Linked DNA regions of Arabidopsis thaliana. The protein of the gene in region 4 interacts with the protein of the main gene of each other region in a pairwise test. Each region holds a gene or a part of one and is shown on either strand. Other genes may lie near its edges. The genes, in order: AT4G22250, AT4G01920, AT1G27030 and AT1G22630.

The links.
Region 1: the proteins of AT1G22630 (region 4) and AT4G22250 interact in a two-hybrid assay, tested with the Arabidopsis thaliana proteins (one large-scale study listed by BioGRID).
Region 2: the proteins of AT1G22630 (region 4) and AT4G01920 interact in a two-hybrid assay, tested with the Arabidopsis thaliana proteins (one large-scale study listed by BioGRID).
Region 3: the proteins of AT1G22630 (region 4) and AT1G27030 interact in a two-hybrid assay, tested with the Arabidopsis thaliana proteins (one large-scale study listed by BioGRID).

What each region holds. Positions count from the first base shown.
Region 1 is NC_003075.7:11,765,607-11,772,545, reverse strand, and holds AT4G22250 (RING/U-box superfamily protein), read left to right. Parts: upstream 1-3,982; 5' UTR 3,983-4,216; coding exon 4,217-4,861; 3' UTR 4,862-5,091; downstream 5,092-6,939. Other genes in the region: IM (Alternative oxidase family protein), read left to right, coding at 196-344, 476-665, 799-892, 1,275-1,390, 1,478-1,586, 1,678-1,746, 1,914-1,985, 2,087-2,134 and 1 more; AT4G22240 (Plastid-lipid associated protein PAP / fibrillin family protein), read left to right, coding at 5,319-5,740, 5,861-6,056, 6,142-6,456.
Region 2 is NC_003075.7:826,242-834,549, forward strand, and holds AT4G01920 (Cysteine/Histidine-rich C1 domain family protein), read right to left. Parts: upstream 5,048-8,308; 5' UTR 4,839-5,047; coding exon 2,862-4,838; 3' UTR 2,585-2,861; downstream 1-2,584. Other genes in the region: AT4G01910 (Cysteine/Histidine-rich C1 domain family protein), read right to left, coding at 1-444; AT4G01915 (uncharacterized protein), read left to right, coding at 1,133-1,278, 1,357-1,389, 1,832-1,887, 1,971-2,056; AT4G01925 (Cysteine/Histidine-rich C1 domain family protein), read right to left, coding at 6,932-7,037, 7,325-8,061.
Region 3 is NC_003070.9:9,378,036-9,386,151, reverse strand, and holds AT1G27030 (uncharacterized protein), read right to left. Parts: upstream 4,626-8,116; 5' UTR 4,311-4,625; coding exon 4,272-4,310; intron 4,196-4,271; coding exon 4,043-4,195; intron 3,952-4,042; coding exon 3,733-3,951; intron 3,645-3,732; coding exon 3,529-3,644; intron 3,053-3,528; coding exon 2,889-3,052; intron 2,782-2,888; coding exon 2,627-2,781; intron 2,527-2,626; coding exon 2,440-2,526; 3' UTR 2,092-2,439; downstream 1-2,091. Other genes in the region: AT1G27020 (plant/protein), read right to left, coding at 5,733-5,813, 5,885-6,039, 6,131-6,294, 6,391-6,506, 6,597-6,815, 7,249-7,401, 7,479-7,517.
Region 4 is NC_003070.9:8,001,354-8,008,202, reverse strand, and holds AT1G22630 (SSUH2-like protein), read right to left. Parts: upstream 4,981-6,849; 5' UTR 4,717-4,980; coding exon 4,579-4,716; intron 4,487-4,578; coding exon 4,427-4,486; intron 4,277-4,426; coding exon 4,230-4,276; intron 4,124-4,229; coding exon 4,036-4,123; 3' UTR 3,899-4,035; downstream 1-3,898. Other genes in the region: MYB3 (myb domain protein 3), read right to left, coding at 984-1,494, 1,575-1,704, 1,782-1,914; ATSAC1 (Phosphoinositide phosphatase family protein), read left to right, coding at 5,416-5,547, 5,734-5,938, 6,028-6,193, 6,320-6,542, 6,620-6,696.

The DNA.
Region 1 (6,939 bases), on a different chromosome or scaffold from region 4:
GAAATTTCTCCGGCCGTGATTTGTTGGACGCGTCGACGTCGATGGGGATGAGAAGTAGTGGAGAATCCGCTCACATTGGGATTCGTCATTCTTCTTCTAAAACCCGCAAAATTTCTCCATTTCTACCAAAAATATCCAACTTTTACTTTTCTTTCCTGTGAAATTATCTGCTCAAATCTTTGGTTCCTGACGGAGATGGCGGCGATTTCAGGCATCTCCTCTGGTACGTTGACGATTTCACGGCCTTTGGTTACTCTTCGACGCTCTAGAGCCGCCGTTTCGTACAGCTCCTCTCACCGATTGCTTCATCATCTTCCTCTCTCTTCTCGTCGTCTGCTATTAAGGTGTGCCTAGCTACAGCTAATATTTAATTGATTTGTTCACACGTGATTATGAAAAGGATTTGAATTTTGCTGTACTTTTGTTTCGTCCATTTCTAGTTTGCTGAAAATTGGAACTTTTTTGAAAACTTCAGGAACAATCATCGAGTCCAAGCAACGATTTTGCAAGACGATGAAGAGAAAGTGGTGGTGGAGGAATCGTTTAAAGCCGAGACTTCTACTGGTACAGAACCACTTGAGGAGCCAAATATGAGTTCTTCTTCAACTAGTGCTTTTGAGACATGGATCATCAAGCTTGAGCAAGGAGTGAATGTTTTCCTTACAGTAAGGTTTTATAACTCTTTTATTTACCTGAAACGTTATGTCTTACTAGAAATATAGATTTTTTGGTTGTGTTATTTTACCGGAAGTTATTTCATGTCTTCTGATTGTTGTCTTGTTTTCGTTTTCTCCGCAGGACTCGGTTATTAAGATACTTGACACTTTGTATCGTGACCGAACATATGCAAGGTTCTTTGTTCTTGAGACAATTGCTAGAGTGCCTTATTTTGGTAAGTGCATCTATTTGTAATTGTAGTTTCAGTTCGTTATAATATTTGCAAGAAACATTGAGCAGAGCATTAAGAGCTAGTCATTAGGTTTTGTATTCTTCAGAAGACAGTAAGATTGTGAACATCACTTGAGATGTGTGCAGAAGAAGAACAATGACGAAATAGTTGTGTTTGAGGAATATGTACTCTTTCTTATCTCATTAGAAGCATAGTTCAACTCTTAACAACAAAAGGCGATTCAGTCATCGAGATATTGGATTTGTTGAGAATCGAATCTTGTTTTTTTTAGTGTGTTTATCACTAATTATGGATCTGGATACCAAATGAAAAGTTGTTCCGAGGCTAGAACATAATGTTTGTTTCTTCTATATGCTCCTTGCAGCGTTTATGTCTGTGCTACATATGTATGAGACCTTTGGTTGGTGGAGGAGAGCAGATTATTTGAAAGTACACTTTGCTGAGAGCTGGAATGAAATGCATCACTTGCTCATAATGGAAGTAAGAACCAAAATGTTACTTCTCTACAAGTTTCATACTCTTTACTCACATAGTTAGTAATAGTAAAACAAATGTTTCTAATCACAGGAATTGGGTGGAAATTCTTGGTGGTTTGATCGTTTTCTGGCTCAGCACATAGCAACCTTCTACTACTTCATGACAGTGTTCTTGTATATCTTAAGCCCTAGAATGGCATGTAAGTTTCCTTTCCGCGTAACTTCTAGAAAGTAGCTGAATAAATTGCTTCTGGTCTACATGACTTCGTTAACCTTGTGTCACCTATGCAGATCACTTTTCGGAATGTGTGGAGAGTCATGCATATGAGACTTATGATAAATTTCTCAAGGCCAGTGGAGGTTGGTTACCAATGGTTTTTTCTTCTTTCTCCACCATTCTGTGTACCATTTACATTAGAACTAAAGTTGTTAATGGAGTTATTGCTTTGAAATATTACACAAAATTCTTCAACGATCTTTACATTCTGAATTGTTGTGCTTCATTTTTTTTTGGTTTCCCTAAACAGAGGAGTTGAAGAATATGCCTGCACCGGATATCGCAGTAAAATACTATACGGGAGGTGACTTGTACTTATTTGGTGAGTTTGTCTTTCCAGGAATTATCAATATCCTCCAGAGTTGTAGAGATGTTTTTACCTATGATTAGTAGTCTTTTAAACTGGCCCTGTATTGTCTGCAGATGAGTTCCAAACATCAAGAACTCCCAATACTCGAAGACCAGTAATAGGTAGCAAATCTATTTCATATCCGTTTAGTTCTTTCCATCTCTGATTCCGTCGAACCACAAAATGCTAAAAAAAAGTTTATGATTTATCCATGGTTATGATTCTGCGCTCTATAAATGACTGAGATTCTGTCTTATGTTTGTATGGAGGAAGCATTATTCACAGTTTGTGACTTACTTTGATGTTAAAATAAGAATCTATATAACGTTTTTGTTGTTTTGTGATTACGGTTGGGCAGAAAATCTATACGATGTGTTTGTGAACATAAGAGATGATGAAGCAGAACACTGCAAGACAATGAGAGCTTGTCAGACTCTAGGCAGTCTGCGTTCTCCACACTCCATTTTAGAAGATGATGATACTGAAGAAGAATCAGGGTGTGTTGTTCCTGAGGAGGCTCATTGCGAAGGTATTGTAGACTGCCTCAAGAAATCCATTACAAGTTAATAAATTAGAAAGTAAACTAAAAAAGATTATTTGTATCAGCTCATGAACAATAGATATAATCCCATATACTTGGGAATAAAGGAATAATGTGAAATTCCCATCGTTGTGCTAGTGTGTGAGAGAATCAAATACCCTAATGATGTAAATGTACTTTGATGAGCTTAAGTCGTTGTAGACCATTTTATCCATACTACTAGCCTTTGTGGTTGCATTGTCGGTTTCTTCAATTCTTATTTCACAGGAGTAAAAAAAATGTTTAAAAGTACAAAATCATTGAATGTATCATTCTCTCAAAAAGCATATTGGTATTAGCGTTTAGAATCTCTATATCCCACACTTTTATTTTTATTGGTTTTGTTGGGGAGAGTGTGGCGCAAAGACGACGTCGTCTATGCGAACATTTCACGTGGGAAAAGCCTTGATTCATGCGCCTTCTTTAATTTTTCTTCTTTTTTTTTTTTTTTTTTTGTCTCTTCTTTGCCTTTCACTTTTTAAAATGATTTTCCGCGGGTTTAATAACAAAAATGTTTTCCCGCCAGAAAGGTTTTACCAAAAAACCATGTTCCGGTTATAGCACAGGTAAGAGAATTCATCAGTCTAGTATAATTAGCAGTAATCAAATTCGAATACTTTGATCGTCGCTTTTATTTCAGAGTTAGCGTTACATTAATAGTACCTTTATTCGATTGATGATTTGTTTAATCTTTAATAGGGTTTGAACTCCGATGGAGGACCTTTTTTGTTGGTAATATTCCCTTCGTTTCACAATATAAGTTGTTTTAACTAAAAATACGTATATTAAGAATATTTATTTTTAAAATGTTCAACCAATTATAAAAAAAACTGTAGAATATAAATAATCATAAAGTATTAAAATAATATATAATTTGCATAGAAACTTGAAAACAACTTATATTATAAAACAAAAAATTTGGTATAAAACAACTTATATTATGAAACGGAGGGAGTATAAACTTAAGTACTAATTCGATTTTGTTTCTATTCGAGACCTTGAAGACTTTTTTATTTAATTTTAAAACTAAGTCGTACAGTTACAGAAACAGCATTAAATTTTTCCTCTTAAGTAAATTTATTTTTTCTCTTTCTATCAGAAATTCAGAAGAACTAACATTATAGTTGCCCCCATTGCGTACACTGTACATCATTTCTCGGTAAATTACACATAATTATAAGTTGATTAACCTTTTAAGTTTTAAACAATGATGTAAGTAACTTATTAAAAATTGGTTTTTAAAAATTGAAAGTTATATACTCAAGTTGGAAAAATATTTTACAAATATACTCGATTCCACTACTACTGTAATTTTGTGTGGAATACCAGTCAAACAGAATCGTTATAACTGTTAAAAATTAGTAAAACTGTATAAAGTAATTTTAATTCGCGGGAAATCAATATTCGGAAGCAACTTTAACAAAAAAAATAAAGAAATGTGAAGAGAAAAAAAAAACTCTGAAAACTTCCTTTATAATGTCATCATCACTGCGAGACCCAAAGATCTAAACAGTTTCTCTCTCTCCCTCACAGGGCTCTCTCATGGCGGAGCTAATCTGTCTATTTCACTGGTGATTCTGTTTCACTATCTGAGAATTTGTTTAGAGTTTCCGTTACCGAGTCGATGATGAGTGAACTCGATCTCGGAACGAGTCAGAGGATGACGGAAACACACCGCACGACGACGACGTTTCTTGATTTGCTCCGACGACAGATGAGCGGTCACGATCTCACCAGAAGGAAACGGACGTTAAAAGAACGGTTGAGATTCAAATGCATCGGATGCTGTGGTCCAACCTGGAATCTCCGTCTAACTAACAACACCACTCTTCACAGTCCAACCTCAAGAGACGACGAAATCGAAGAGTTACAAATTGAAACCGGACTCGTTCTCGAATCGGATCATGGATCGGGTACGGGTATGAATCTCGCGACAGCGTTAGAAGCGGAGAGGTATAACCGTGGAGAATCGACGGAGGCGGAGGCAGATATGACGCCGAGGAGAGTTTCGTTGATGAGATTGTTGGAAGAGACGGCGGAGAAAATCGTTGATGACGACGGGAAAGAAACGGAGATATTAACGGCGTCTATTGGGACGTTAACGGGTAATGATTCGGTGTGTTGCGTGTGTATGGGAAGAAAGAAAGGCGCTGCGTTTATTCCATGTGGTCATACTTTTTGCAGAGTGTGCTCTAGAGAATTGTGGCTGAACCGTGGATCGTGTCCTCTTTGTAACCGTCCGATCATTGAGATACTCGATATTTTCTGAAAACGATCGGACGGCTAAAAGTTCTCGATCCACGTGAGTAAGTGAGGTGATCCCTAGATACGTTTCCAAAGTTTTAACTACGGTTTGTGTACTTTGTACGTTTCTTTTGGTTATTGAAGAAGATGATGTAAATGCAAAAAAGAATACAAGAGGTTTTTTGTTCACGAGGCCCATTTAGTCTATTCAAGCCCAGTAAACCGTTATTTTGGATTTTATCTAGCCTAAACAATGCTCGCCTCACACCGTCGAGTGGATTCTTGGCCGTTGATCTTGTCTCTCACGTGGCAGTATCGTAGTCGAATGTACATGATCTATGTGGAATAGTCGATATTATCCCTCTTGGTGTGAGTTTGGTAGTTGATGAAAGCAAAACATTTACGTAACAATGTCTATAAAATCAGTACAGGTCTATTCTTGTTCACTAGCTTCGAAATTTTAGTCGAAGAAACAAAAAAAAATGGCGACGGTACAATTGTCCACCCAATTTAGCTGCCAAACCAGAGTTTCAATCTCACCGAACTCTAAATCTATCTCCAAGCCTCCGTTTCTGGTACCGGTGACCTCAATTATTCACCGCCCGATGATCTCCACCGGAGGAATCGCTGTTTCCCCCCGTAGAGTTTTCAAAGTCCGAGCCACAGATACGGGAGAGATAGGATCAGCTCTATTGGCGGCGGAGGAAGCAATTGAAGACGTGGAAGAGACGGAGCGGCTAAAGAGATCGCTCGTGGATTCGTTGTACGGAACAGATCGAGGTTTAAGCGCATCGAGCGAAACCAGAGCTGAAATCGGAGATCTAATCACACAGCTCGAGTCTAAGAACCCTACTCCAGCTCCGACGGAAGCTCTTTTCCTTCTCAACGGCAAATGGATCCTCGCGTAAGTTTTTTTCCGGTGAAAACTTTCTCTTGTAGTCCTGTAGATAGCATCATTCGTAGGATTCTGGATTCAAATGGTAGATCTCGTGCTGCTTTTGATTTGGTTAAACCTCTTTTGCAGCTACACATCGTTCGTGAATTTGTTCCCGTTGCTATCACGAGGAATCGTACCGTTAATAAAAGTCGATGAGATCTCTCAAACCATTGATTCAGATAACTTCACCGTCCAGAACTCTGTTCGTTTCGCTGGTCCTTTAGGTACAAACTCGATTAGCACCAACGCTAAATTCGAAATCCGAAGCCCTAAACGCGTCCAGGTAAATTGACCATTCATCGACCATGATCTGATATCAACATCTTGAAACGTTTTCAGTAATGTTTTGGATTTCATTTTTCTTGCAGATTAAGTTTGAGCAAGGCGTAATTGGGACGCCTCAGCTAACGGATTCTATTGAGATACCGGAATATGTAGAGGTTCTTGGTCAAAAGATTGATCTTAACCCGATCAGAGGGTTACTTACCTCGGTGCAAGACACAGCCTCGTCTGTGGCTAGAACCATATCAAGCCAACCACCGTTGAAATTCTCTTTGCCGGCGGACAATGCGCAGTCTTGGCTACTCACGACTTATCTAGACAAAGACATTCGGATCTCTAGAGGAGACGGTGGAAGTGTCTTTGTGCTTATCAAAGAAGGAAGCCCTCTCTTGAATCCTTGAACTTGGTCAAAATATATGTCTCTCTCTTGTCGTTGTGTTAAGTGAGACAAATATATAGTGTGGTTGTAGGTTTACTTCTTAATCGTTGTTATTAACTCGATGATAAGGAATATAATGTTTTTAACTACTACAGAACATCTCGTCTATGGCCTATGAAATGTGTCTCAGATTTTCACAAAATTCAAGTGTTTTAGAATTTCATTCTCTTCTGTTTGATTTAGAAAGTAAACTATGTACCGATGCAAGAGTTACATGAGAATTATCCCGGCAACGTCGGGTCTTTCGATAAGAATCGAGATGATGACTGTCATTTTGTTGTCTAATTGGTTCACTCTGTGCTTGATGCCTATCATTTTTTTTTTGAGGGACTCAGTCACTGGAAATGGTTCTATTAGTATGGTATGGGATACTTGTTAGTATAGTACTCGAGGTTTCTAGCATATGCCATAGAGTTTCTCAATATCTGAAGCCCTATTTTGAATG
Region 2 (8,308 bases), on a different chromosome or scaffold from region 4:
AAATTCATTACCACTAATCTTTCCACATTTAGCATCACAATCGAACGCCGCGATCCGCTCCTTGAGAAGGGTGAGCTTGTGGTGATGCCTCTCGGAATTTTCAATAAACTCTGGCGGTGGGTACATGGCACAGTGTAGATCCACGATAAAGCCACAGATCTCACAATAATAGGATAGGTAATTGGTGCGCCTTCCACATAAATCACAGTGAAAACGTAAGTTACTACAAAGCTCAAGAGTGTGATTGGGGTGAGATGGATGCTCGATATATTCGGAGACACCGTCACCACATGTCTTGTGGACGAAAAAATCACATCTTTTGCAATAGTAGCCATCGCTGATAGCTTCAAAGTGACCACAACAATCACCTTTCCTCAGGTCATTCCAAGGCATCATTTGATGGTTATGGATCAACGGTAGTGACACCACTCCCTTAGAATCCATGGTCGTATACTACGAGATTTGGAAGAATAAGAGGTTGGATCTGAAATCGCAAAGCTATGCTCCTTTCACGTTTCTTTCTCTCTCAAAACTCAAAAGTCTTCTCTCGATAATCTCAACGATGCTCTTGTAATATTAATCATTATATTAAACTTTTGAATTGTTTGGTCTTTCATTAACAATGAATATAGTTTTATGATAGTGACAATATAACTAATCATCATTAACCACTTGTAATAAATAGTCAATTTTTAATTCTTTAGATGTATACCAATCGGCATGATCCATTTATGAGCTTCATCTCCCCCATTATTTTTTCAACTTCACTTTTGATGTACGTTAAATTTTGGAATTAATATTGATAGAAAATCTCAATAAGAAAACTCCCACTCGTTTTCTTATACCAAGGCATTCATGTACCTTCTGAGATATCGGTTTAGTTTTGGTTATGTTTCGGTTTGAGAAATTTCATTTCGGTTAGAGTCAGTTCAATTCGGTTTGTTTATTTAAACAGGTCCTTCATTTTTTTTTGTATGGATGATATTGGTTGGAAGATGTTAGTCTTAGCGATATCTCCTCCTTCAACGACTCTCATAAGACCATTAAAACAAAATGGGCAAAACCGGTCACCGGTTTGAAAAATCGTCTGCTTGAGCCAGAGGAGGCAGAGCAAAACTGGCACCGGAAAATCATGGATCGTCCCAGTAAACCTCTCGCTTTTTGGTTCAGGCTTCTTCGTGGGTCCTCTTCTCGATGGTCTCCACTGACTCACGTGTTGATCTCGTTGTTTACCAAAACGGAGCTTTTCAAATCGGTCCTCTTCATACAAACATCTGGGTAAGATTAAAATCCACAACTTTAAGAATCCTTCATAAAAACATTCTGTTTTTGATCTTGTAAGGTGTGTTTTTTCAGGTCCCGTTCTTGCTTGGCTTATTTTACTGTACAGTATGTTTACTACAACTCCTCTTGGATGATAGAACCTCTATAAAGCCTCCACGTTGCAACCTGTGACAAAACCATAATTTCGCTCTTGTGAGTATGTATTGTTGTGTAGAAGTATAACTATTTTGGGGACAGTGGAAGTGAAACTCTATATGGTTTGGTGAATGAAACAGAGCACTGGTGTTGTTCTTAGAGCTAAGTTCTGAAATCTACAAAGCTGGAGTTTCAGACAACATAGAAGCTTACATTCTATTTGCCTTAGCAGAATTTATTTGGTTCTCTTTGGATAAACTTGGATTGGCTTCACCATTGCCACTCTCCTTGGTGTCGCCTGTCCTTTAGCCGAAATCTTCATAATGCAGTAAGTAAACTGCGCGCTTCAACAACCATCTCTTTGTTTTTTATCAGAAGTCAGTCTAAAGATTGTCATAACCTGGCTTAACAGATTCTTCCATCTGTGGTACTATATATCCAGAAGCAAACATAGAGATCTTTGGCCAGGTAATAAGTGTTTATACAGACATATTCAAACAAAAACATACACATGAATACTCTGTTTCTTTTTGTTTTGTTTTCTGGTGAAGGGATTGGTTACGTGGACGACAACGTGCTACTTCGTCTACACACAGAACTTGCTACAATGGCGTCTTCAAAGCATTGTAGTTTCTGAATACCAGATGATCTGAAAGAAACAGTCATGTGTATGCTTTGAAGACGCCATTGCCCAAGACTTCTTGCAACAAGGGTTTACTTTATTACTAATGATCTGAAACAGAATGCACATTGACATTATGCTTAGGGAATCTTCTTGAATGTCTATCATGGTTATAGTTTGCTCTTCAAAAAATGTCAATCTTAGTACTGGTGGGAATGATGATGACACAACATTCTTGAGTTAAGAAGTTCTCTTTGATCAGTTGGGTGAATTTCTATGGCATCCCATCTGAAACATTAGCGTTCAATGGTACCTCCATAACCAGTAGCATGGCAGAATGTTCTATACAACGGCGTAAGTAAGATCCTTCATTCCAAAGACAAGGCATAACACGTTTGAAACAGCTGATCATATCAAATTAAAATTCCAAGATTCTTAGATAACTAATACATGCCATAAGTACCATTAAATCAACTTCTTAGAATGGAAATGAATTTGTAAAAGAAATGGTACAAGAAATCTAAAAGAAAAGCCTACTCGCTAAACATCCGAGGGTCCAAGTATCTTCAAGATGATAGGAAAAATGCAACGCAACTCACACCAGATGCAAAATGGACGAGATAAACTATTATTGAGCACCACCTCATATGATATATGTTACAACACACACATTGTATATGGAGTTTGGTGCCAGAAAATTCTTAGATATTTAATACATTAAGGAAATCAACTTATAAAGGAAATGAACTCGTAAGAAAGAAAAAAAATAACATTACAAGAAAAACCTCGACTCGCTAAACATCTTGCTTCATTTTGGGCTTTAACGGTCTGTATATCTACACTCTGCACATTCAAGAGAGCAGGAGTATTCATTCGTGGCTCCAAGTGTCTTCAAGATGATAGGAAAAATACAATGCATCTTACACCAGCTGCAAAATGGACGAGATATACTATTATTGAGCACCACCTCATATGAAGTGCCCTCAATTTTTATTGTGCTTCTTCGCATGAGACTTGAAAGGTCTCCAAGCACACACTTTGTATGCAAACTAGCCTGATGATCTTTACACGTATAGAACCATGTATGTGGATTTGTTTCTTTTTCACAAATGTCACACCAATATTTACCACTTGCCTTTTCGCCATAGCATAGTGAGAGAGGATGATCATGAACTCTATGCTTTACCATTTGTGGTAAAGTGGCGCATCCAAAGCATAATAAAAATCCACAATTATCTTCAATGCAACTAAGCACAAAGTCCTGCTCCATGTTGCAACCAGTGCACCATTGTACTTCGTCTGATGGAAAGTAATATAAGGGATGATTAGGATGACTTGGATGGATATGTGGCTCAGAAATTGAAATGCACCGAACATCGAATGCCTTATTCCCATGCTGGTACTTGAAACCATTGGACAATCTATCACAAGCATAACACCTAAAGCCTTCATCCTTGTTTGTAACCAACGTAAGACGTTCATTGTGTAGCACATGCCATTTCATTCTAAGAAATCCAGCGCAGTTTTGGTGGAGAATGAAGTTACAATCCATACAGCCGTAGAAAGACTGGAGACAGATGGGATGGGTGCATGCCTTGCACCGCTTGTTGTCATCACATAGAACACCATTAACGTTGAGTCTTAGGTAATGCTCTTTGTGACTAAAATGTTGTATTGTGTTTTCATCTATCACCACATATGGCTCTATATCTTCTGTTTCTTCGGGTAATCCTTCAAGTTCTTTCCCATTCCACACATCTTTTCTAGTAGCACATTTTGAATGAACAACATAGCCATGACACCTCTGACAAGAAAAACCTCCATAAGACCAGTCCACCTTTTTGCGACAAACTCCACATACAGAATTCACAACACCAAGAACAGAAGTTCGAGAAACACGGTGATCATGCCGGTTAATGTTGATGAGGCGTGGAAGGCCAAGACAGTCTTGATGGATCATGAAACCACATTGAAAACATACGTAAGGGCTACGATCTCCCTTCAGCCCGCAAGCATTGCATGTAAAAGAATCGAGTTTTGGGAGAAGGGTGAGTTGGTGATCATGAGCTTTCAAATTCAGAAGAGATTGTTGTGGTGGGCGCAAAACACAAACCTTGTCCAAGGTAAAGTTACACGGAGAACAATGGAAAAAAAATGTTTCATCAATCTTTCTTGCGCAAAGACGACATTTCCCATCAGAATAATCCGGTAACTGACCCTTTGCGTAGAGTTTAAGAGGGTGTAAAGAGTGGTAAGAATGGTTTACCTCTAAACGGAGTTCTAGTTCGGGCGGATACCATACGCAATCCACATGAAAGGATAAATCACATTCATGACAATTGTAAGGAAACTCATTACCAATAATCTTGCAACATTTAGCACATATACATTGCTTGATCCACTTCTTGAGAAGGGTAAGCCTGTGGTGATGCGTCTTGGAAATGTCAATAACCTCTGGTGGTGGATACTTTGAGCAGTATAAATCCATGTCGAAGTCACATAGATCACAACGATAGAATATTGGGCACATCCTTCCACACAAATTGCAGAAATTAGTAGGTCTTTCAGGTCTTAGCAGCTGAAGAGTGTGCTTGGGGTGAGATGGATGCTTGATATATTCGGAGGGCTCGTCAGCACAATTTTTTCGGACGAAAAAATCGCAGGTTTTGCAGTAGTATCCATCACTGATAGCTTCAAAGCGTCCACAGCAACCACAGCAAGGACCTCTTTTCAGATTTTTCCAAGGCATCATAAGATGCTCGTGGATCAACGGCATTAACACTCCCTTAGAATCCATGGTCGTTTACTAAGAGATTTTGAAGAAGAAGAAGTTGGATATGAAATCTCAAAGCTAAGTTTCTTTCACGTTTCTCTCTCTCTCTCAAAAGTCTTCTCTCTTTAATTTCAACGATGCTCTTATGAAAAAGAAGATTGGATCTGAAATCTCAAAGCTAAGCTCCTTTCTCTCTCAAAAGTCTTCTCTGCGTTAATCTCAAATCCTCAACGATGCCCTTACAAAATTATTTTTTTATTAGACTTTTGGTTTTATTGGTCTTTCATTAACAATAAAAAATAATTAGGCCCAAAACCCGCACCGTGCCGGTTTTTTCATGCATTTTGTTAGTTATAATAATTAATAATTTACATCAACTGAATTAATTTTATAAACAATCGTTTTGGTGTTTTTTTCTATGATTATCATTTTGATGTATCTTCTAACTCTCAAGTAAATGATTCATTCTATTTATTATGTTTATTTATTTATTTTTAGTTACAATGTTTAATATTTATTTACAATTACTTAACTTAGATATACAAAAAAATAAATTATTATCTTTAAAGTATTTTAAGGGTTTTGTGCAAAAACCACTATACCTCATCCATTTTTGCAACTTCAACCTCTACCTCCATCAAATACAGATTAATCATTAACAATATAAAATAATATGCATTATAACCCTCTTTTGCCTTTTTTTTTGTTACCAACAATTTTGTAAAATATCGATAATAATATGTTAAATTAAAACTTTCGCGAAGAAGAATTTAACTTTACCTTCAAAATTTTAAAAATCTAATGTATATAACCGTAAAAACGTTTACAATATATATATATATATAAAGATCATATTTTGTATTATTTTAGACTTCATAAAAATAATCTGCATTTATTGGAGGTAGAAAATAAAGTTGCAAAATGGATGAGTTAGCACAAAACCTTATTTAAAAGTAAACGGAAAAATAGTTTTACAATATCAATCATTAGTATTATTTTATTAAAATGAACCACTAGTTTAAAATAGTCAATTTTTAATTCTTTAGTCGTATCAATTAGCACTATTTATATAAAAAATGAAAATGAAAGAAATCTAAAAACATTGGATTCGGATCCATTTTTAAACTCTGAACTATTTTTTTATGAGCTGGATATCTCAATTATTTTTTAATTCACTAGATCTTGGAATTAATATTCATATTAACGTTTGAAACAGCTAGATCGTCAAAGTCAAAATTGCAACATTCATAGATAAATAATACATGAAGGAAATCAACTTATTATAATGGAAATGAACATGTAAAAGAAATGGTACAAGAAATCTAAAAGAAAAGCCCACTCTCTGGACATCTTGATTCATATGCATTACATAGCGCAATAACCAGTAGTTGGCATTATGTTCAATACAACGGCGTAAGTAAAGATCCTTCATTCCAAAGACAAGGCATAATTGTTTGAAACAGCTGATCATATCAAATTAAAATTGCAAGTTTCTTAGATCTAATTTCTTTTTTTTTTCTTTTCAAAAGAAAGACACAAATCTTGGCTTGCCTTAAAACGTGTGTACATGTTGATAAAACATTTTCATTTCGGTCTCTAGATTCTGCGAATAATAATGAATGGAGTCTGTGTTTGGTTTCATGTTGAATCAATCAAGATGTGTTTTTAACTGTAAATGAATTATGCAGAAAACATCTGTCCTGGTTCTCAGACATCGGAACTCTGTTCCTAATAAAAACTGAAGTCCCTGTTTTTATGTTAGTAATCTGAAACAACAATTGTTTGAAGACGCCATTGCCAAGATTTCTTGCAACAATGGTTTACTTTCTTACTATTTCTAATGATCCTGAAACAGACTATACAATACGTTGAGAAAGAAGCGAAAAGCTGACAATCATGATAATGCAAGACTGATAGTATTGTGTTGTTCATTTTCAAGGTGAAATTTTGTAGAAAACGAATGTCAGAAAGCATTTGAAACAGCAAGATCGTATCAAACTAAAATTGCAAGATTCTTAGATAAATAATACATTAAGGAAATCAACTTATAATGGAAATGAACTTGTGAAAGAAATGGTTACAGGAAATCTTTAAGGAAACCCCACTCGCTAGACATCTTAATTCACACTCATTGCATTAGCGCAATAAGGAGAGCAACAGTATTTTTGTGAGGCTCCAAGTCTCTTCAAGATGATAGGAAAAATGCAACGCAACTCACAACAGCTGCAAAATGGACGAGATACACTATTATTGAGCACAACCTTATATGATCTGCTCCAACGCCTTAATGTGCTTTTTGGCATGAGCCCTAAAAATTTTCCGAGCACACACATTGTATGTAAACTAGCTCGGTGGTCTTTACACGTGTAGTAACTAAAGTAAGACGCTCATTGTGTAGCACATGCCATTTCATTCTAAGAAATCCAGCGCAATTTTTGTGGAGAATAAAGTCACAATCCATACAACCATAGAAGGACTGGAGACAGATGGGATGGGTGCATGGCCTACACCGCTTGTTGTCGTCACAAAGAAGACCATTATCGTGGAGCCTTAGGTAATGCTCTTTGTGGCTGAAATGCTGTATTGTATTGTCATCTATTACCACATATGGCTCTATATCTTCTATTTCTTCAGGTACTCCTTCGAGTTCTTCTCCGTTCCATACATCTTCTCTGGTAGCACATTTCGAATGAGCGACATAATCGGGGCACCTCTGACAAGAAAAACCTCCACAAGTCCAGTCCACCTTCTGACGACATACTCCACATACAGAGTTCACGACACCAAGAACAGAAGTGCGAACAACACGGTGATCATGCCGATTGATGTTTATGAGGCGTGGAGGGCCAAGACAATCTTGATGGATCATGAAACCACATTGAAAACATATGTAAGGGCTTCGATCTCCCTTCAGCCCGCAAGCATTACATGTAAAAGAATCGAGTCTTGGGAGAAGAGTGAGTTGGTGATCATGAGCTTTCAAGTTCAGAAGAGACGGTTGTGGTGGGCGTAAAACACAACACAAACCCAAGGTGAAGTTACAAGAAGAACAATGATAAAACAACCTATCATCAATCTTACTTCCACAAAGACGACATTTTCCATCAGAATAATCCGGAAATCTAGCAGTTAAGAGCTTAAGAGGGTGTAAGGCATGGTAAGGATGGTTTACCTCCAAAGGGTGTTTTAACTCCGTTGGGTGCCATACACAATCCACATGGAAATGTAATTCACATTCCTCCCACATTTATCGTCACAATCGAACTCGATCCGCTCCTTAACGATGGTGAGCTTGTGGGGATGCGTCTCGGACATGTCAATAACCTCTGGCGGTGGGTACATGGCACAATATAAATCCACGTCAAATCCACATGTCTCACAATGATAGCCTAGACCTTTGATTTCCCTTTTACATAAATCACAGTCACGACCTGGTTTAGTTAGAAGCCGAAGAGAGTGAATGGGGTGCAATGGGTGTACGATAGAGTCACAAG
Region 3 (8,116 bases), 1.4 Mb from region 4:
CGAATTCGTTTAGATATTAATATATCTATTAGATCAAAAAATTTGTCTTTAAAAGTAATTCTGTTTTGCAAAAATAAGTAATACTCTATTATAAAAAATTTAAAATATATGTCATAATTTTAGTATTTTTATGCTCAATCCGAACCGTCTGCTCCGATTGTTTACCTGAAACTTATACACTTTTTAAAAAAATATGCACAAAATAAATATATTTTACTGGACAGTATGGGATTACTTATATCAATCAGTGAACGAATCTTTTTTTTTTTTTTTGAATTTTATAAGATAATAGAATTCTTTTATTAATTATTAACAAAAGAACATTAATTAAATATTATACACGAGATAGATATATATTTATTGGACATGATGTGCTCAATTATTTAAAATCATTCAACGAATCTTTTTATTTATCAGATAATGAACTTTTTTTGTGAATTTATTAACAAACAAACAAAAACAAAAAACATGATACACGAGGTCTTGGTTTTCACCTAACCTAACTCGGTTTTCTGGAATCTTGTAAACTTAACATCAATTAACCAAAGTATTATACTACCACCCGAATTTTAAAAAAATATATATTGGAACGGAACGAATCAATCTAACTGAGAAACAGTCGGTAACCAATATAACTCTTTTTTTTTTTTTTTTTTTTTAAGGAAACTAATACAACTTGTTTCTCAATATCTTTAGATTACATTTTTTGCCTTTATACAAGAAACACGTCATAATAAACGGTAGGTGAAACTTGGCATATTAAGCGAGAGCAGAGGTGATTTTGGATTTGTACACGTCGACATTGAAAACAATAATATTCGTGAGTAAACAAACAATAGAAAAGGGAGATTAAAAAGATGTCGATTTTGGAAGAGCGCAAATACCATATCGGCGTCATAGGAATCCGTAATCTCGTCTCAACGTCTAATTTGTTTTGTGGTTGATTTTTAAAATTTTCTCCTAAGAACACTAAGCTCAATATGAAACATTCATTGTAAAACAAAATTCATTGTAAAAGATGTCTAATTATAACTTTACATTTTCTGTAAAAAAAAAATGTGGAATATAAAGAATGTAGAATTAAGATATTCAGCAAAAGTAAGGTGATATAATATAACATCTATATATACATTTTTGCAGCCATTTTAACAAATAAATCTTAGAGTTGGACTTATTTACAACCCAATGCCATTAGCATTAATTGTTTTCCAATATAATTAATTTTACTTTAAATTCTTAATTTAAATTGTCAATCACATTATCAATCAAATTTAATCCAAACAAACTTCACATTAATCCCTTAAAATTAGCATAAACGTATTTGTTAACAATATTTTAAAACAAAATTTTTTGTTTAAATAAATATTATTCTTATTAAACGTTTTTTGTTTAAATAAATAAATCTTGTATTTGAACTTATTTACAATGTCATGCTATTGACATTAATTATTTAGAAATAAAAATATTTAATTAACGATTTAAATCTTCTAAATATTTGCTTTTAGAGTTATTATGTCATTACCTAAAAGGCAAAAAATATATATTTTTTTAAATATTATTATTTATATATTTAAACTTTATAAAACATTATTAATATTTAAACTTATAAAAAGTTTAATATATCAAAAAATTTAACATCATTATATAATATATAGTTTAAAAAATCTCAAAAAAAATTCCGTCATATTTTGTGATTCAAAATTTTAAAAATGAACATATATTAACCAATTGGCGAAAAATGTGTGGGTTCAACATCCCGCATCGACTAAAATATTTAGACAATGATTCATAAATAAGATCAACATTAATAAAATAAATAGTTTTTTTTGCAGGATGGGTTTTGCGGGACGGGTTTGGCAGGACGTTACTTAATAACAGTTGTAAACTATAAAATAAAAATATTTTATAGATAGATACAATTTATAAATTTTTATATATACTAACTTTAAAAAATAAATTGTCCCCACGGTGTACCGCGAGTTAAAATCTAGTGCATCTTATAGCTGCAAAAAAAACAGTTATACCATATCTCTACAAGATACTAAAAACTTGTATACTAACAAATATGGGTTAATGTTTTAAAATTGTCCAAGTAAATCCCCTATTTATAGCAAACATACACTCAATCACACCCATAAAAATTATTTTAAGAGAGAGACGAAAACTTCACAAATATCACATATTTCAATCACAAAATACATTTTATTTCCCATGATTCGTCAATCATGTGATCCATTTTACAAGTTGGTCACTCTAATCAACAATTACCATCATGAGAGATAACATATGCTTACATTGTCCCTTCACAGTAAAATAACAACATAAAGATATCGCAAATACACACATGCATATATATGGAAAGATTGCACACAAACACACACTCACATATATAGTTGCACAAATTTGGCATATACTAAGTCGAGCAAGACAAGTCTGGTTCTAGAATTTAGTTGTGAAACGGGTGCTTTCCATTACGTGGTTGGCGTTATCGAGTTCAAAAGCTTCACGTCTATGAAATTCTTTGATCTGCATCACAGTGCATGGCAATGAAAAAAATTCTGAATAAACAAAATAATGCGAAAAAATGCAAATCATTTATTTCGCGATTCTTTCTTACATCAATTACCTCATCAAGCGGCACATCTTTGAACTCTGGAAGAACTTGACGCTGAGTGAATTCAATGTATGAAGCTGGGATTGTTTCAGTTACTCCATCTGCAAATGTTACCGGAAGCCTTTCCGAGATCGATGAAACTTGAAATAGTAGACCATCTTGACTCACTGCAATATGTATGTCCACATTCATTAATCATTTCTATTGAACAACATATTTAAATAGAAACGTTTCAAGAAAGTAACTCATGATGGGAATATAAGTATTAAAAAACCTTTGAGGATTTCTCCGTCACTGTTGAGTTTGAATCCCTTTTCCTCAAGACGCTGTTTGACGAATTTGATGTCACTGAAACGATGTTTGAATCGATGAACCGCAAAAGCAAGATGATTCATTGTGTAGCCGTGGATAAGCGTCCATGCCGCAAATTCGCTTTCTCTGCATCATTCATACATACAATTCCAAATAATTAGCTCTAACCATTAAAATAGTTATAAAATAAAAAAATTTAAAAACAAAAACAAAACTCAATTCTTACTTCTTCTTCTTTTTTTATAAACATTTCAGAAAAAAATAGTGTTCATCTATCATTTTTTTTTCTGTTTAAGTGCTGATCTATCAATTTCTCAAAGCTTTGTTAGAAACTACCATTTTTTTGTACTTGTTCATCAAAACTTGTCCTTAATACCATCGAACCTATCACCCAAAATCTTATTTAATAAATAGTTAGTTACTAAATATGTACTAGTAGAGTAATACAGTATAGTTCGTGTAAGAGTATTCATTTTTATTTATTTAAAATAAATTAATGTATTTACAATTAGCTAGCTGTTAGATTTTGATAGAATGAATTACTTTTCTGAAATTTATCAAGTAAAGATATATGACTATTAATTGAAAGTTAATATATATACTTGGCAAGCTGCTTGAAGTCGGTCCATGTAGGCTTCTCCCATATTAAAGACCCCAAAGTACTAGAAAGAACCGCTTGCTTGCCACCTTCTTGTTTCAAATACTTCCTTATTATCCCCTAATCAATATATAGGACCAACAAAAGCGAAATTAGATATGTTAAAAACTCATAATGAAATTTTTGTGTCTGCGATCAACATATATACCTGTGATTCAGGGCTTAGTTCGTCCACAAGAACCTCAGCTATAACAAGTCGCGGCAAAGGGCCGTTGCCTAGACCGTGACCATCATTAGGAACGTGAACATCAGGTGGAGAAAACCAAAGAACTCGTAGTTTCTTCTTGGGAAAATCAAGTCCACCACCAATTTTATATCCATAAGCCATGAAAAAACTCGACAAGGAGTCTATTCCATAACCATCGACCTAAACTCATAACCCCAAAGAAAAAAAAGTAAAAACAAAATAATAATTTAAACAATTAGTTTCACCAAATCTTGAAGAGTAAAATTATTACCTTTAGTGTCCTGAAAGTGAAGTGGTCGTAGCAGATCTTTTCGTTGTCCAACGACTGAACCAGTTCCCATATTGTCTTCGCCGTCGGGTTCTTCCTTAGGTACGTTTTCAATATATTCTCGAACACATTCCGAAGAAATATTTCACTTTCTCCCTGTTAGATGCAGATTGTGTATTATCGTAACAAAAGATATTTCTCCTTCAAAAAAAATATAAATTTGAGAAAGAACCTTGAACGATGAACTGTGAGGCAAGTCGAAGGAACCCATGTTTGAGTTGTTTCTGAGAAATGAGCCGTTTGCTTTGTTGTTCTTATTTATTCTTGCTTATACTTATAAATAAAGGTTGGTGCATACCCCAAAAAAAAGGAGAGAGAAGGAGTCACTTAATTATTAGTATTTTAGTTTTTTTTTCTTGACGCATAGTCGCTCCGCTCACGATGATTAGCTGCGCAGGTAAGGACTAAATTTATATAAAATCGTTCAGCAAACGAATCTTTGTCTGATTCTATATTTATTTATATCAGTACTCAGTAAGAAAAACCAAGTGAAATGTTTCTCTTACTCCCTCTTATAGTTAGATCATGGATTATCGTGATTTTTGTTTTTGTAAATCATAATTAGAGAAAAAATTTAATTATGAAACGTTTGGCAAGTCAAGAGAACCGTTGCGGGACGATGCTTTAAGTGTACGAGAGAAACACAGCTTTGTTTGGTTTTTCTAATATCTTATCGTAAATTCGTATTTTATACAGCTAGAAAGAGTGGGAAAAAAAGCCAAGGATCAATGATTGCTAACGACAAGAATATAATTGGACTTTTCCAGAGCTAGTGGGGGGTAAAAACTATATTAAATGAAATAAATAATTTTTGGTATGTAACTATTTTGATCACTAATATAAAATGATACAAAAAGTTGATCCTTAAACCAACTTTGGAAATTGCTAAGCTACTAATTAGTAGACCATCTTCAATGATGTATCTTAAATGTATCTTAGACTAATATCTTAAAATTAAATTCTGAAAAATAAATCAAAACAAATTAAAAATTAAAGACTTGCTTCTTAGCTAAGAGGTTTTTATGAGTGAAAAAACAGTTACATGTCATGTTTCAAAATTTTATTGTAAATAATTGTTAAGATATTTGGTTAAGATCGAGGAATGCGATGGTCTAAAACACATAATACAACTGTTAGACTAATTTAGATCCAAACTATAATTATAAACGAATAATAGCTAAATGAAAAGGTTAAGTTCTCTAAGATATATTAACTACGTAAAAACACTTAAGGTTAACAACACAAAAAAAAACTAACAAAAGACAATGTGATGTCAGTTTCTCTACGTGAAACACCAAAATCCAATAATGCAAAAAGAAGAAGACACTAAGGTAAATGAAAGATTGGGCACGTTGGTCTTCAACCCCAAGAGGTGTTACGAGTCACCAAAATCAAGTGTCACGTTACTATCAAAAGATATTACATGCAAAAACACCACAAATACCACACCCCACCATGACACTTTGTTTTCCATTATTCGTCGGTAACGGGTAATATTAAGTTATACCGTCACTTCACAACACAAGAACAGAAATATCTCACACACAAATTGTCCAAATAAGATACAAAACATTTTAATAGTACGTACACATACTTGACATATTGAGCGGAACAAAACAAGCTGGTTCTATATTTACGCTGTGAAACGGGTGCTTTCCATTATGTGGTAGGCGCTAGCTTGCTCCAAGCCCTCGCGTCTATGAAACTCTTTGATCTGCATTACAACGGAAATATATAAAAATGTCTAATTATAAAAGAATTCGATTAATGTGAATTGCTTCTTACCTCATCACACGGCATATCTTTGAACTGTGGAAGAACTAGACGTTCAACGAACTCAATGTATGAAGCCGGGACGATTTGAGTTACTCCGTCTGCAAATTCAACCACAAGTTTCTCCGACATAGCCGACACTTGTAACAGTAGACTGTCTTCACTCACTGAAATATTTTTCCATACAACTTAAATAATGGTTATAGAATAGAACCAATCTAAATGAAAGATGTCATGTGAAGAATAAGTAAAGAAAACCTTTGAGGACTCCTCCATCCTTGTTGAGTTCGAAACCGTTTTCTTCAAAATACTCTTTGACGCATTTGATGTCGCTGAAACGGTGTTTAAGACGATGAACCGCGAAAGCAAGATGGTTCATTGTGTAGCCGTAGACAAGCGTCCATGCGGCAAATTCGCTTTCTCTTCATCATTTATAAAAATTTACAAAACTCAAAAATTAAATTAGCTAACCATCAAAGATACTGTGTGATTATTGATTATAAACTTAGAACATATACTTGGCAAGTTGATTGAAATCGGTGGATGTTGGCTTCTCCCAAATTAAAGACCCCAAAGTACTTGAAAGAACAGCTTGCTTACCACCTTCCGGTTTCAAATACTTCCTTATTATCTCCTAGTTAACCAGAAATTAGGACCAACAAAAAAGTTATTATGTATTATTAAAGACTCATTATAACAACATTATGTTTGTGATCACTAATACCTGTGACTCAGGGCTTAGTTCCTCCACAAGAAGCTCAGCTATAACAAGTCTTGGCAAAGGGCCATTGCCAATACCGTAACCATTATCGGGGAAGTGAACATCCGGAGGAGAAAGCCAGAGAACTTGTACTTTCTTCTTTGGAAAATCAAGTCTGCCTCCAACTTTATATCCATAATCCATGAAAAAACTCGCCAGGGAATCAATTCCATAACCATCGACCTAAACCCATACACCCCCAAAGCAAAAAAGAAAAAATCAATTTATACAATCAGGCCGGCCCCAAGTATTTCGGGCCTAAAGAAAAATTAAAAAATTTGAGCCCACTAACAAATACACTGGTAAAATAGAAAAAACAGGTCTCAAAAATTGCTGACATAAAAGTATAAAATTAAAACCATTTAGCGCTTATACTTTTAATTGATGCCGTTAATGTTAGAAGATCTCAAGGATTACAAGATGAGCTTGAAGAAAAGTATATATTTGCAAAGGCATCAATTAAAAGTATAAAACCACTTTTTTAATTGTTAAATAGGTAGATTTACTATAATCGTATTTGCAAAGAACTTGCTAATCAATATATTTGACCAATTTGTTAAGGTTTTAGATCCTCCTGCACACAATTTCACCAAATTTTTGAAGAGTAAATTCATACCTTAAATGTCCTGAAAAAGAAGTGGTCGTAAGAGATCTTTTCGTTGTCCACCGACTTAACTAGTTCCCATATCGTCTTCGCCATCGGGTTCTTCCTCAAATACGTTTTCAGTATACTTTCAAATACATTCTGGAGAAAGGTTTCACTTCCTCCCTGATAACAACATAATTAGTGTGTTATAGTGATGAGTAATTCATTTGATTTTTATAAATATAAACTGAGAAAAAAACCTTGAACGATGAAGCGTAAGGCAAGTCAAGAGAACCCATGTGTAGTAGGAATATCTTTGAGATCTTTATGAGAAACACAACTTTTGCTTGATTCTTCTCTTCTTTATCTTAAATTCGTAATTTATAATGCCAAGGGTCACAGTGTCAATGCTTCACTATGATAACTTGCGTACAAGGATTAATTGTTTTTTATTGAGCTAGTGGGGAAATCATTCTTATCAAATAATTGAGCGAACTACTTGCATCGAGAATTTTGGAAACATTATCATATCTTCATTTTGGTCAAATTTGTATCATAACGATAGTTGTCTTTCATTTTCTTGTTTCTTGCCTTTTTGCCATCTTGGTCAACTTTGGTGTTTAAATATTAGAAAATTTTGATAACTTTCAACTATTTACATTTTTCAACTAAAACCACCGAGTATTTTCCCTATCTACATGGTAGATTGTATTTTGATTATTACTCCAGTTTCGTTTCCCTCTTATCTATCTTTGGTTTAATGATAGATCCAACCAAATATGTTCCTTATTTTTGTTTCTCACTTGTGTGCTTCATAAAACTCTTATCTTCTCATTGGGTTTCCAGATGATAATAACAGTAAATGGGTGTTTGGTTATGTCCGACTAGATCAGTCAAA
Region 4 (6,849 bases):
AACTTAACTGGTCAAAATTTAATATCTTCATTGGCATTACTTGTCAGTTGATATCTTCTATGCCACTGAAGTGATCAATGAAGTAGTTGTATGGAACCAAAGTGATCAATTAAATAGCTGTTTCACCAAAACAAAAAGTTATGTTATGTCATTTTCAAATTTTTCTTTGAATTCCTAAAATACTTGTAAAGGTTGTAGGTTAGGTTATTTGAAATTCAAAATGTAAGTGGATTAGTATGTTAAAATCAAAAAAAAATGAAGAGAAGACATGCGAATAGCCAAAAAAATAGGCAAGAACTAAAAAGCACATACAAAAAGTGACGACACCAAACCAAACATCATTTAGGTATGGTTTTAACGTCTGCATCAAAGTTGCTCTGCGTATTATCTGCTTGAAATGACTCATTCAATAGTATAATCTAATTAATAGGAACACTTCAAATAGGTGAAATTTGACATCGAATTATATATTGTCTCCACATTTTTAAGTTACATGGCTTGGAATTATTACATATTTTCAGAAACTATTTGTGACGCAAAAAAATGTGATTTCATGATTTCATCGCTTGAATTTGGTAATTTCATTAAAATTTACATTTCACTGAATTTAATTGACATACGTAAATTAAAAAATGAAAACATTAATTCTACATAGAAATTTGAAACCAAAAAAAACTCTTAAAACATATGACGTATATCATATAACAAGATTAATCACAAATAAAATGTAGTATTAAATTAATTAGTTTGCTAGATTATGAAATTATAACATTTATAAAAATTACCGTTTTTTAGCATCTGCAAGTACAACATGCCCTAATTGTTGTTTTTATAAATTTCTTTGAGCACAATCTTTTGGCTTTGCCATCAAATAATTATGCTAGTTTCTTACTTGATGTTACATAACAAATGTGAACAAAAAAAAAACACAATTGACGATCTAAATATATAAAAAGATTCCTAAAGAATTCTCGATTGACTCTCTAATGAGTTCTAACATCAGAAACCCGACAATTCCGACACGACTCATTACGAAACAACCCAATCCGACAACACAAACACACCGCATCACTCTCATGAGCTCCAAACAACTCGGAACCCCACCGTCGAGTCGACTCAGCCGAGTCAACAACACTCACTTTCCGAGTCGACTCGTACCGATAACTCGGTCCAACAGAGAGTTCCAAATTCAACACCCAATCTTCCTCGTTCCCATAATCCTTCTCCGACGTCGTTCCACTACTCTCACAATTATTAACCATACCAATCTCTTCACGCACCGGTTCCGGTTTAACCGGTCCAGAGAAATCAAGATGTATAGTCTCAACGACATCGTTTTGAAGAGACGACGGAGACACGACGGATTCGTTGATCAGACGGTGAGAGTTTGGATCAATCCCACGGCTGAGAAGCTTCCTCTTGATATGAGTGTTCCAATAGTTCTTGATCTCGTTATCTGTTCTTCCTGGTAATCTCCCAGCTATTAAAGACCATCTATAACAACAACACAAAGTTTCAGAATCTTTCACAAATATAATCATATTCTTAAAAAAGTGTGAGAGAAAGAGACTAACTTGTTACCGAGCAAGCTATGGAGCTTGATGATGAGTTCATCTTCTTCTTCAGTAAAATTGCCTCTTTTGAGATCTGGTCTTAGATAATTCATCCATCTCAATCTACAACTCTTACCACATCTTTGTAATCCTGCACAAAGTTCAATCAAAAATCAAATCTTTACCTCTCTGTAAATATAAAGAAACAGAGGATGTATGAATAAGTACCAGCGGCGCGAGGGAGAGATCGCCAGCAACCTTCACCGTGTTTACGGATGTAATCAACAAGAAGCTGATCTTCTTCTTTAGTCCAAGCTCCTTTGTTCATGTGAGCTTTCTCGCAGCATGGTGATCTTCCCATCTTTGTTGATCTCTATATGTATATATGTATCTCTCTACGTGTATTTGGAGGAAATAGTGTTTTATTTTTTTTGCAAGGAAGAGAGTTCCTGTAGGATGGTGTTTTCGTTTTGAATGTTATTTATAATAACTACCTAACATTATTTTAATACCAAAGTTAAAAATAAAAATGTATCTAACAAATGAAATGATGTGTTCGTTTTTTTGTGCCTAAAGAATATTGTAACACCAACCAGAAAACACAAATTTGATTGTAGTACACTCACAGGAGGAACGTGGGTGGAGTTTCCTAACTTTTTTTGTTTTTTGTTTTCTGAGATGTAGATCGTACGGTTTTGGTTATTGACTTTTTGGCTCTTTAGAATCATCTCATCTGCTCAAAAAAAATATCATAATCATTTTACAAATTCCACAATTCATTGCAACATGTACTGTTTTTAACCATTCTTATTGCATATAAAAAAATATAGTCACGCGTAACTTTCGTATAAAAAGATCGATTATAAAAGAGAAAATAACTAAATAACGGTTTAAGTAATCACTAATCAGTTAGTGAATAAAGTGTTTTTAACATCATCAAATTTACTTCTTAGTTTCTGTAACGATTTTGTAAACTCGTTTTAATATCAATAAATTTGTTTAGCGGAAAATTAAACCAATTTTTTTTGCATTATTGAATTAAACAATTGTTTACTGCATTATTAACAAAAAAAAGTACTTAAACCTAATTTTGGGAAAATGTTAAAAAGAACAAAAAAAAAGTAGATCTGGGAGAAAGTAGGTAGATAGATTGGGAAGATGAGTAGGTAGCTGTCTTTTTTCATCTCTCTCTTCTCCAATCACTCTCTCCACACGCTACTTCCTTCACGTACCTCCACGTGTCCTTTCTTATGATTTTATCACATTCCTCTCTCCTTTGTCTCTTCAATTATAAAAACATGAATATTATTTAGATTAGTTGGATAACTGAATTATTGGGTTTGGGCATGTGTACTTGGTCCTTCTTCTACTGTTGTGTCTCTTAAGTTTTTTTTTATATTTTATTTTCGGATTTCACATTGTAACGACGGTCCAATTAAAGAATACATTTTTAAAATGAATTTACTAGTAACTTGTAAGGTACTTAAATGGTATCAATCAACATTGGGATGATTTTTCTTGGAAATTGGAATAACGTCGCTATAACAGGCGATTAGATAAATTAGTCGCATAGAATCGTATAAATGTTAAATGTTTTTGTCTCACACGCCCCATACGTATTTTAGTCCTTTGCACTTTTGCAGAAGTTATCAGAATTCTTTTCAATATTTAAAGAGGAGTTGAATTTTACAACAGTGATGTAATTCTATCTAAAGCTTAATTTCATAAGTTTATTATAGTTCTGTTTTTCTTTCTCAATCGTAAACATTTTTTCTTATATAGAAAACCCCGTACAATCTAACTACTATTCAACGTAATTTAACTACTGTTCAATCTTCAATGTTTTGTCATAAGCTAGTAATCTATGCTTAATTAAGAAAGAAACATAAGAAGAGTCATGAGCGGATGGGCCTTTTGTTCATAGCATTGTATTGGTCATGGGCCATTACTTGCAAAGCCCAACATGGCTAACCGCAAACAAGCTTCTAATTTCATCACGCTACGCCAAATGCCAAACATTGTTGTACAACACTTCTACCTTCTGAGTCTTCCTGACTATTGGCTAACATGAACTACGACGTTCAAAGAAAGGTTCTTCGGAGGTACACTGATCGATATGGAATTGGAATCGAAGGTTCCCTATGCACAAAAGAACATGGCGAAAACACGATTCAAAAAAACATAACGTCCGAAGCGCAACTAAAACTTAATATTTCGTGTTAAAAGCCAACTAAAAGTTACATTTCCGTTTTGTAAGCAGAAAGTGTGACTATTTTATGTGTTCTTAACAATATATCATTTTTTTTTTTACTTTGTTAATATCACTTTCTCATTTCTAAACGCTTTGTAATATTCTAGCGAAAATATAATTTATTAATGATTTTTATTTTTACATGCAAATTATACGACTGAAATGTTATAGGAATAGAGACATGTTTGTATCACAAAATTAACTTATGTAGGAAAAACAAATAGTATAAGTCTATCGTTCCCCTCTCTGTTCAGGCGTCAAGCCTCCCTTGCCACATTTAGGACAACTCTTCATACCAAATCCTTGACAATCAAAACATCTGCACATATTCAAAATCCCAAATTAACTCTCCTTAAGTACTCATTGAACTGTAAATTTTTAGATTGATATTTGAGAACCATGTGACATTGTTAGTTATTACTTACTTCCACCTCTCAAACATATTTCCGTTCTTCTTATTTTTACCTGTTCCCTGTAGACAACAAGAGAATTTTGTCTAGTATATGCATAAATATAGAGTAAGAAAGAGTAAAATGAATAGGTATGGTCTGGAAAAGATTGATCATACACTAAAGGTATTAGTTTATTACATAGTATCTAGTAATGAAAATCAAATTAGTACCTTGCAACCGGGACATTCAATTGCTCCTTTGGCTCCACAAGTCTCACAACTTTTGAATATCTGTTTATATAAACCTTTTGAAGAATTAACAAAACTCTTCATTGACGATGATAACATATCATATTGTATATGGATGTATAGTGAAATCTTACCGAACCAAGAGAGAAATTTCCGATTTTTCCCGCAGAAACTTTGATTGTATCGCGTCGCCCCGAAACAAGCTGACTTTCAAAAGCTAGAATCTTCGGTTCTAAAGATAACTCACTGCAACAAAGTGGAAATTTCAACATTTTTGTAACTCAAATTAGAACTAGGAAGTAAGATATCTATGTACATCTATATGCATATCTATGCATACAAGTGATAGTGAATATGGATGGTGTGAGAAAGCTAAAGAATTTGCTTGGTTGTGGTTTGTGGATATTGAAACGGATCATGTGGAGGGAATATGTTGACAAGGATTATTGACTTAAAATACATAAGTGAAAGAAGCCAAAAGACCCTACAAATATCCATTGAAACAAATTAAATTATAATTTTTACCTAACTAATAAACAATATCAATCACAATTTAATTCTTTATTTTAAAACAGTAAAAAGCATAAACAATTAAGAGCTTAACAATCATTTTTTAATCAAAATATCTAAACAGTATACATTCAAGTAAATATTACTTTATGCATGCAAAATGTAAATCTGAATTCTGAATATGTTAATTTTTCTTTTTACAATGTATCAAATTTTATAAATTAAGAATAATATATTTTCTTATAAATTTATCCAATTTTAATTTAAGAGTAAGATATTAGTTCAAAAAGATAAAGAAAGGGACAAAGGATAATTAATTCAATGAACACGATCCTAAAATAGAAAAGTACGAAAACACCCCTTATCTTCCGAACACTTTTCCGATCGCAAAATGATCGCCTGAAACCATCGCCGGCTTCAGAGTGTTTGATCGTTTCTCCAGATAGATAGATTGATCCAATATGGCGAAATCGGAAAACTCAACGACTTCGACTTTCTCTTCTTTCGCCAACAAGATTCAACCGTCCAACGATGCAGAGTCCGATCCCGATTCGTATGCCCTCGAGAAATTCAAACTCTACGAAACCAGAGCGGTAAGCTTAAACCGATTCAGAAATTGTTGATTCTAAAGACTAATGAGGAAGATTGCATCAAACGTTTCTCATTTGATTTCACCATCGCTTAGGCACTCTCTAATGCGAAAAATGTGTGTTGGAATGATTGGAATCGTTAAGGGAACCCTAGATTGAATTGCTTGTCATATAATTTTCTTTGTGCAGAGGTTTTATCTAGTAGGGAGTGATAGGAATAAAAGATTCTTCAGAGTGTTGAAGATTGATCGTTCAGAGCCATCTGAGCTTAATATTAGTGAAGATCCTGTTGTATATTCGCCTCAAGAGATCAAGAGTCTGCTTCAGCGTATCGCTGAAGGCAATCGTGCCACGGGAGGATTGGCTTTTGTGGCCAAAGTCTATGGAATTGCTGGTTAGTCTTTGGGGAAGCAATGCTTGTCTTGTTTGTATATTTTGGATCTTGTGTAGTGAGCTAAGTTGAGTAAAATTTGTGCCTTGTAGGTTGTGCTAAGTTTATGGAGTCATACTATTTAGTTTTGGTTACAAAACGGCGACAGATTGGATGTATATGCGGGCATGCGATATATGCTATTGATGAAAGTCAAATGATCAGTGTTCCACATGCAACTATTCAATCTGATGTTGCGAATTCCAAAACTGAACTAAGGTCTGTATCTAGGAATTTTGATTTCCCTTTCTGAAGTTTGAGTGAAGCTAGCTATTCCCACTTTTAAATTCTTATTGCACCATATATTATTTCACAAAGTTCTTTGTATCTTTCCTTTATTTGCAGGTACAAGAAGCTTCTGTCAAGTGTAGATTTGACAAAAGATTTCTTCTACAGTTACACTTACCCTATAATGCAAAGCTTGCAAAAGAATGTTCTATCATCTGGTGAGGAAGGGATGCCTTATGATAACATATTCGTATGGAATTCGTATCTGACGCAGCCTATTCGATCAAGGTGCAACAACACTATTTGGACACTGGCATTAGTTCATGGGCACTTTAAGCAGGTATTGTCTTAGGGCTTCAATCCTATGTTTGATGCCAGGAGTTAAAATGGTTCTAACTAACTTTCCCCATCATTCAGATAAGACTATCAATATATGGAAGAGACTTCAGTGTTACTTTAGTCTCCAGACGTTCTCGACATTTTGCAGGCACACGGTAAGAATTCTTTCTTATCAGGCCTCTAATGTATGACAAATTCATGGTGACCGTTTCGATTTTCTGATGCCCTTTCTTAGTTATACCTTTTATCTTTAGGAACTTTGGTTAGGGTGAATATAATTAGTGATGTGACCTTTTCTAGACCAGTTT